Linked DNA regions of Callithrix jacchus. The protein of the gene in region 1 interacts with the protein of each later gene in a pairwise test. Links are inferred from orthologs where the notes say so. Each region holds a gene or a part of one and is shown in the gene's direction. Other genes may lie near its edges.

Region 1 (4,895 bases):
AGAAAGAAGTAGAGACAGGTTTCTCACTCTCACCCTGACTGGAGTGCAGTGGTGCAATCATAGCTCACTGCAGACTCCAATTCCCCGGGCTCAAGTGATCCTCCTGCCTCGGCCTCCTAAACAGAGCACTGAAAGTGAGTCACTGCACTGGGATCTAAATTGATTTACATATTTTCTCTCTTCAATAGAGTGGAGGCCTCTACTAGAAGACAGTAGGTAATTTGCCAAGGGTAACACAAGTTAAGTGAGTGGCAAAGACGTGATTCATTTTTTCTTCTTTTTCTTATTCCTCATTCAACTTGAACTTGAAAGATGAGATTCTAGTCCAGGCAATCAGGCTCCAGGGTGTTTTTACTCTTAAGCACAGATTCATACTATCCAGTAATCCTTTATCAGCCCCAGTACCTAGCTCAGAGCTTTGCACACAGGGCCATGCAATGGTTTATCAAATGAATAACTAAAAAAACTCATTGATCTAATTAGCACCTCTTGAACCTTTACTGACCTATGGGCTACTGGGAATCAGAAACTCAGTCTCCTTAATCTGAGTGAGACTGCCTGGCTGTGGATCTAATTATAAGCGATTTCAGAATCATAATTACTGTTCCATTTTGTCTCTTGATCTGTAATGCATCAAGGACCTACTCCCAGCTTCTCAGGGACAAAAAAAAACAACAAAAGAACCCACAACATGATTACTTACTGAAGCCTGGGAGCTGTGTGTTTTTGTAAAGCTTGCAGCTCACATCTTCGATGTGAAAGAGGGGGGTGGACTGGATGGTCTCGGAGGGCCCTTTCTTCAGTTGTAATAGTCTGAGATGGACAGGTGTGATCCCAGAGCTTTGGGAGGCCAAGGTGGGAGGATTCCTTGAAGTCAGAGTTTCAGACCAGCCTGGGCAACATAGCAAGACCCAGTCTCTACCCACCAAAAAAACATATTTTCTTTTCTTTTTTTTTGAGATGGAATCGCCTTGCTTTGTCACCCAGGCTGGAGTGCAGTGGGCGATCTTGGCTCACTGCTGCAACCTCTGCCTCCTGGGTTCAAGCAATTCTCCTGCCTCCACCTACTGAGTAGCTGGGATTACAGGCGCCCACCATCAGGCCCCAATAATTTTTGTATGTTTAGTAGACACGGGTTTCACCACGTTGGCCAGGCCGGTCTGAAACTCCTGACCTCAAGTTATCCGCCCAACTCGGCCTCTCAAAGTGCTGGGATTATAGGCGTGAGCTACCGTGCCGGAACCCCCCAAAATTTTTTAATTAGCAGGGCATGGTGTTGTCCACTCGTAGTCCCGGCTCTTCGGGAGGCTGAGGTTGAAGGATCGCTTGACCCCAATCACTCGAGGCTGCAGTGAGCTATGATTGCACCACTACACTCCAGCCTGGACGACAGAGCGAGACCCTGTCTCTAAAAGAAAAAAACAGTATAGGATTTTGAGAGGCATGGAATTATAAAGAGCCTCTGTGTCAAAAGACATCATTTTGAGTCTCACGTCTGTCATTACTAGGGACCTTACCCAAGTTAGTTAACCCAACTCACAGATTGCCGATCTGTAAAATTTGATTCATTTATTCGAACATTTTTTTGATCTAGGGTGATCCCGGGCCCAGGTTCTGGTGGGCTCCCGCACACATTGGCTGGCTGGCTCTGGGAGGTCACGCGCTGGCCGCTTCATCATCGAGGAGAGGGTGAAGACGATCTCCGAGGCCGCGCTGCTGAGCCTTCCCGTGGCCTGGAGGCCACGGAACCAGCAGGGATCCAAGGCCCGCGCACCTAGGGCTGGAAGGGCAGGCGCGCGCAGGGCGGCTCACGTGACAGCCCCGGGCCCGCCTGGGGTCGGGGGCGCGCGGGGGCGGGGCGGGGGCGGGGCCTGGCGCGCGCGGCCCCGCGGGTGACAGGCGGGCGGGAAGGGGCGGGGCCTCGGGCGGGGCCGCTGAGGGGAGGAGGGCGGCGGGAGGGGAGGAGTGGAGATGGCGGCGGCGGCGGCGGCGGCGGCTCAGGGGGGCGGGGGCGGGGAGCCCCGGAGAGCCGAGGGGGTCGGCCCGGGGGTCCCGGGGGAAGTGGAAATGGTGAAGGGGCAGCCGTTCGACGTGGGCCCGCGCTACACGCAGCTGCAGTACATCGGCGAGGGCGCTTACGGCATGGTCAGGTGAGGGGGCGTTCCGGGGGAGGGGGCGCCCTCGGGGGAGGGGGCTTCGCGGGAGAGGAGGGGGAGGCGCCGAGCGCTTTCCAGGACGTGGAGACGCGGAGCGTCCCGAGGAGGCCGGGGACTCGGGATGATCGGGAGCGTCCCAGGGAGGGGTCCCTGAATGCTTTCTGGGGGAGGGGTCGCTGCTACGTCCTCAGAGGAGGGGGCTTGGAGCTTTGAGTCCAGCACTCCGTAATGACGGGAGGGGCATCTGAGTGCATGTGGGGGACTGCCGGGACCCTAGAGACACGGGGCAAGGCCCAGAGGATGAGTACTCTCGGGGAGGCGACATCCTTAGTGAAGGGGCAGTGGAGGGTCGTTCTGGGGGAAAGGGTGTCTTGGATTCCCTGTGAGGCAGTGCTTGGAAGCCTGGGGGAGAAGAACAGAGATCAGGGTGTGGCAGGGCTTTGGCCCTCCCTTCCCACCACCACCAGGGGCTCAGTGAGGGATGAAGGGGCCAGGAGTGCCACCTGCATGTTTTGGGAGGGGTCTGTGAGTGCCCCCCGCCCCTCCATGTGCTCTGGGACAGCCTGGCTGCCTGGGCCCCTCACTCTGGGACCCTCCCCTGCCCTGTCCATTCCCTGGCTGCTGCTTTCCCACTGTGTTTGCCCCATGGTGTGGTCCCAGCATCTGCACCCCTGGACCTGTCTTGGGTTAAGGAGCCTTTCCTGGGAAGTGGGGTGAAGGGTTCAGGGCCACTAGAATGAAAGGGGATTGAGGAGAGGGGAAGTCAGTGAGTGGTCAGTCTCTTCCTCTGTTTGTAAAGTCACCGCAGGGGCGCCTGGCTGGTCCCCAGCTTTCTCTCTAGAGATCCCAGGCCTCCACAGCAGGAAGGAACCAGCATTGTTTATGAATTGGCCAGAGCCAGCTCCTGCTCCCTCCCCTCCCTGCCAAGGCCTGGGTGGGGCCACCAGGCCTGGACTCCCACTTTGTAAGGCCACAGCAGCAGCCTCTCTCTGGTCCCCTCAGCTCGGCCTATGACCACGTGCGCAAGACTCGAGTGGCCATCAAGAAGATCAGCCCCTTCGAGCATCAGACCTACTGCCAGCGCACGCTCCGGGAGATCCAGATCCTGCTGCGCTTTCGCCATGAGAATGTCATCGGCATCCGAGACATTCTTCGGGCGTCCACCCTGGAAGCCATGAGGGATGTGTATCCTTCACCTTGGCCTTCATGGCCTCCGAGCTGGGCTGGGGAACCATCACTTGCTTTCTGTTTCCATCTTCCCCACCATCCTCCAAAAAAAACCCAGTAAAATAAACTTTCCTGCAGAGGAGAGGCCACAGTGTAACAGGACTTGGAGGCCTCTGATGAATCCAGGCCTGTGGCAGCCGGGCAGTATGGCCTTGAGCAAGTCGGTTCTCTGCTCTGTGCCCCAGGGGGAGAGCTGGGCAGGATGGTCTCTATGGGAGTGTTGTCTTCTGACATCTGCAGTTCTGAGACATGACCCGGCCACAGCCCACAGTCACTTCTTGATAACAAATGGACGATTCTTTTCTCTCTTTTCTCTTTCCCCAGACTGGAAGGGAGACAGGGAGAAAGAAAGCTGTCAGCCGGGTGCAGTGGCTCACGCCTGTAATTCCAGCACTTTGGGAGGCCAAGGCAGGTGGATTACTTGAGGTCAGGAGTTGGAGACCAGCCTGGCCAACATGGTAACATTGTAAAACCCCATCTCTACTAAAAATACAGAAAAAAAAAATATATATAGCCGGGCCAGCTACTCTGGAGGCAGGGGTAGGAGAATCACTTGAACCCAGGAGGTGGACAGTGAGCCAAGATCATGGCATTACATCCCAGACTGGGTGACAGAGCAAGACTCTGTCTCAAAAAAAACAAAAAAACTACCTTTCTTGAGGGCCTATTGTGGGTCAGGTACTATATATGCCCAGTGCTTTATTTATTTATTTTGCTATTACACCTTCCAGCTATCCTATGAGATGGGTTTTTCAGCTCCATTTTTTTTTTTTTTTTTTTTTTGAGACGGAGTTTCACTCTTGTTACCCAGGTTGGAGTGCAATGGCACGATCTCAGCTCACCGCAACCTCTGCCTCCTGGGTTCAAGCAATTCTCCTGCCTCAGCCTCCCGAGTAGCTGGGACTACGGGTGCGCACCACCATGCCCAGCTAATTTTTGTATTTTTAGTAGAGACGGGGTTTCAACATGTTGACCAGGATGGTCTCAATCTCTTGACCTTGTGATCCACCCGCCTTGGCCTCCCAAAGTGCTGGGATTACAGGCATGAGCCACTGCATCCGGCCTTCAGCTCCATTTCAAAGATGAGGGGTGGAGAGCAATGGCTCACGTCTGTAGTCCCAACACTTTGGGAGGCCAAGACTGGAAGATTGCTGGAGACCAGGAGTTCAAGACCAGCCTGGGCAGCATAGTGAGACCCCATCTCTACAGAAAATTTAAAAATTAACCAGGTTTGGTGGTGCACAATTGTAGTCCCAGCTACTTGGGAGGCTGAGGCAGGAGAATGGCTTGAGCTCAGGAGTTAGAGGCTGCAGTGGGCTGTGATTGTGCTACTGTACTCCAGCCTGGGGGACAGAGAATGACCCTGTCTCAAAAAAAAAAAAAAAAATGAGGAAGCTAAGACCCAGAAAACCTAAAATCAAGTGTTTCTCTTGCTGTCTCCTCCTCCCCTCCCCCAGATGGGAAGTTGTCCTTCCTCTAGGACTTCTCACTCCAAGCAGCACCCTAATCACC
Region 2 (4,268 bases), on another chromosome or scaffold:
TCTTGGACATTTTTCAAAGCCCTCAACTTTTTTGAGAAGATTTGTAAAGAAAAGATGGGGAATCTAAGCCTGAGATTCGTTTGAATGCATGAACGTATTTCCCTTTGCTCTCTTGTTCCAGGTTTTCAAATTAAAGCTTTCACAGCACTGCGCTTCCTCTCAGAACCTTCTGATGCCATCACGATGCGAGGAGGAAACGTCCTCCTGGACTGCTCTGCAGAGTCTGACCGAGGAGTTCCAGTGATCAAGTGGAGAAAAGATGGCATCCATCTAGCCTTGGGAATGGACGAAAGGAAGCAGCAACTTTCAAATGGGTCTCTGTTGATACAAAACATACTTCATTCCAGACACCACAAGCCAGATGAGGGACTTTACCAATGTGAGGCATCTTTAGGAGATTCTGGGTCAATTGTTAGTCGGACAGCAAAAGTTGCAGTAGCAGGTAGGTGGATTCTTCTTTCTCTTTCTCCTCCTCTCTCCTCTCTTCTTCTTATTCTCTTTTGAAAATAAGAAAATAATTTTTGAAGAAATAATATACATTTTTAAAATAGTTTACATTTTAAATTGACCAATAATTATATATTTTTATGAGGTACAATGTCATGTTTTGATGTATGTATACATCATGGAGTGATTATATCAAGCTAATTAACATATCTGTCACCACATACCTCTTTTCTTTGGTGAGAACATTTAAAATCTACTCTTTTAGCAATTTTGATATATACTATGCTGTACAGTGGATATTAAAAGCTTATTTCTCCTCTCTAACTGAAACCTTTTACCCTGTAACAAACATCTTTCCATTCCCTACCACGCCCCATCCTCCCAAGCCTCTGGTAACCATTCGGCTCTCTGCTTCTATGAATTTGACTTTTTGATAATAGATTCTACCTGTAAGTGAGATAATACAACATGTTTCTTTCAGTGTCTAGTGTATTTCCTTTAGCATAGTATCCCCTAGGTCCATCTGTATTATCACAAATAACAGGATGTACTCATTTTTAAGGCTGAATAATATTCCATTGTGTGTGTGTATGTGTGTGTGCATAGATAGATAGATAGATGTGATAATATATATCACATTTTCTTCACCCATTCACTCATTAATGCTTGATTCCATATCTTGGCTATTATGAATAATGCTGCAATTAACATGGGGTGTAGATATCTCTTATATGTCCTGATTTCAATTCCTTTGGATATATACCTGTAAGTGGGATTGCTGCATCATATGGTAATTCTAATTCTAGTTTTTGAGAGAGCTACATAACCATTTTTCATAATGGCTGTCTAACTTTTACTTTTATCAAGAATGCATGTTTTTAAGAAAAAGGAAAGATTTAAAGAGATTCATGTTTATTCTCTCATGGTTTTGACTGACCTTTTTCCTTAAATTAGCTTAGAAAACAGTCATAGGATCTCAAATGGCAGCATAAACTTATGAGATTTTTTTTTTAAGGCAAAACTGTTTCAAGTTGACTTACTACCTATATCTGCAGAAGTAATTATTATTAATAGAAACATATAAAAAATAATTTCCTAATATTATTTTATAGTTTTATTAAATGCTAAACTTTTGTAGAGTCATTTTTTTTTTTTTGGTTGGGTCTTAAGAACAGTGAATTTTATTTTAATTACAGTGGCAAGGCCTACAACATCTATATCTCAAGTGAGAAATAAAATTCCCTCTAGTGCTTCCAAATTTCTTGATGTTTAGTAACATGTTGGCCCAACAGCTGAGTAATAAGATGAACAGTTTTTCTTTTCATCTGGATACACTGAAGTCATGTAGACCCTGACAAAATGGTACTGACCATTCTGGAATCCATGATATTGCTATTTCTACCCCATTCTTCTGGTTAGAAGAAGCTTATAATTATTTCTGTTGGCTCCTGAAATGTTAGACCTACCATAGTGAAGAAAAAGTTTTTTTACTTGTTTCTATAATGATTTGACCAAAAGCTGTTTTTTTTTTTTTAATTTTTGTACTTGATCATAAAGCCAGGCAAGCAGATCCAACCTGAAATCAATTTAAGCTATCAATGGGTAAGCAGATTTACAGGGCTGCTTTCAACTAATCTTCAGTTCTCAGTAAAAACAAAATTGAATCATAAGCAATGTAATCATTTGTTCTGGGTTTTTCCCCCAGATCCTACTTAGTCTAGTCTCAACTTTGGAAGATGGATAAGAATGATAACTCGTTTTCACCAATAACAGGACAATTGTGCAGAATCACCACTCCCTCATACACTCCTAGTAAGGGTTTGAGAAAGTTGAAATCTGAGAGAGGTGATTTTGTCAAGTGGTGCTATAAAGAATTACATCTCATAGATATGCAATTAACCTCCATATCTAGCTTCAGACCACTCCTTGTCTCCACTAAGAATTCTGTAGACTGAATGTTTTATCTCCCTAAAATTTGTATATTGAAATTCTAACCCCCAATGTGATAGTATTGGGAGGTGGAGCCTTTGGGAAATAATTAGATCATGAGGGTGGAGCCCTCATGAATGTGATTAGTGCCCTTATAAAAGGAACCACAGAACACTCTTGCTCTTTTCACCACATGAGGATACAATGAGAATTCTGTAATCTGCAACCCAGAAGAGGACTCTCATCAGAAATCAGTCATACTGGCACCCTGCTCTCAAGTTTCCAGCCTCCAGAACTTTGAGAAATCAATGTTTGTTGTTTACAGGTCACTTAGTCCACAGTGCTTTGTGGTGTCCACCCAAACTGATGAAGGCAGAGTTTTCCATAGTCAGTTAAACCAGATTTTACCTAAGGTAGAGTGGCTAACTATTATTATTTTCTCAGGACTCACCTGTTTTAGCATTTGACAGTCCCATATCCTGGGAAGCCTCCTCAGTGCCATGTAAAACTAGGATGGTGGGTCACTCTACCTTGAGGTGCCCCGTGTCTGCTTTGGCAATGACTGACTGTGGTACAGATGCAGAAAATCCCCTCTACTCAGGAGACAGGCCAGGTGACATCCTAATCATGAAAATCAAGGCTACACGGTAACTGGAACCTTTGAGTGATGGGTGTCTGAAATTTGATTGATGAGCATAAAGTGTAGAGAGAACTGAATGTTGATGTTAATTATGATTGATTAAGAGAAAGAAGTGGAATAAATGCTGCATATTAGGCAAAAGCCACTTTCTCAGAATGCTCCAAATGAAGTGGAAAGGGGACAATTTGACTTTCTGTCACTTGAGAATTTCTGGCCTCATAGATCCCACCCATCAGTTGATCCCAAGGCCAGAGGAGCTCTGCTGATTTGAATGAAGCAGGCTGGCATTTTGATGCCTTATTACGAAAGGCAGCTGCCTATGCACTGCTAATGAAAATGGCCTGTTACATTGCAGTGTCAGTCTTCCCACAATCCACATTCACTTTTTCATGTTCTGTCTTTCAGTAGTGAAATGAAGAACAATTCCTTCTCTGTGAGATATTAAAATACAGTGGTTTGGACTTTAGCATTCCGTACAAGGAAATGCTCACGGATTCAGTCACTGAATTACAATCTCATATTAGATTGTATCATTTCAAGGCAATAAGGCTGCTCACAGCATTTTAAACACTTACCATGCTGTTTGGCAACACAGAATACATCAATGTTATGTCTGCTGAGGTTAAGATTGCCAAACCACTAGAATTCACATGGGGCATATCTCTTCCCGGTAATAAAGACCATAGACCTGATTTAATCTCATTTTTAAAGCATTAGCAGTCAATAAAGCAGTCACCACTAAATGGTAACAGTAGGCTTTGCTTGGGTAAAACAAAAAAAAATGTTTTGTACTCTCAGGTGCTATATAGAGCCCATATTAAATAATGTCCCTCTTCCATTTTTGCTTTCTCCAAGTGTCTTTTGATAAAAAGAAGTGTAGCAAATGAAATCTGTCTTTAATCAGTCAGCACATTTCGTGCAGTGATCTTGCCATGCACCATTCATTCTATCCTTCTAGGAGCTTTTCAAGGGCTCTTTAAGCCTGGAGTGCACACTTGGCTGGAGAGGGAAGGAGAGTGGGAAAGATAAACAAAGAACTATCATTCCATCCAACCTTTTGTTAAAAGTTGCAATGTAACAGGCTACTGACTATCAGTATTTCTAGTCATTTTGAGTTCTATTGTAAAGAATGCCTAGGTTATTAAATCTCCATTTGAAAGCAACTTCACCAGACTAGCTGAAATGTGGGCATTTTATTTGTATCCAATTAGCTCTAATCTAAAATGCTGCAGTATTTCTGTGCCATGTATAC

What was found. The genes of interacting proteins can lie anywhere in the genome.
Region 2: the proteins of MAPK3 (region 1) and DCC interact in a two-hybrid assay, tested with the Homo sapiens proteins (2 studies listed by BioGRID). The link is inferred for Callithrix jacchus from reciprocal best matches to the Homo sapiens genes MAPK3 and DCC.

What each region holds. Positions count from the first base shown.
Region 1 is NC_133513.1:29,404,963-29,409,857, forward strand, and holds the start of MAPK3 (mitogen-activated protein kinase 3), read left to right. Parts: upstream 1-1,936; 5' UTR 1,937-1,971; coding exon 1,972-2,150; intron 2,151-3,158; coding exon 3,159-3,341; intron 3,342-4,895.
Region 2 is NC_133514.1:95,950,424-95,954,691, forward strand, and holds part of DCC (netrin receptor DCC), read left to right. Parts: intron 1-121; coding exon 122-442; intron 443-4,268. UniProt on the Homo sapiens protein: Receptor for netrin required for axon guidance. Mediates axon attraction of neuronal growth cones in the developing nervous system upon ligand binding. Its association with UNC5 proteins may trigger signaling for axon repulsion.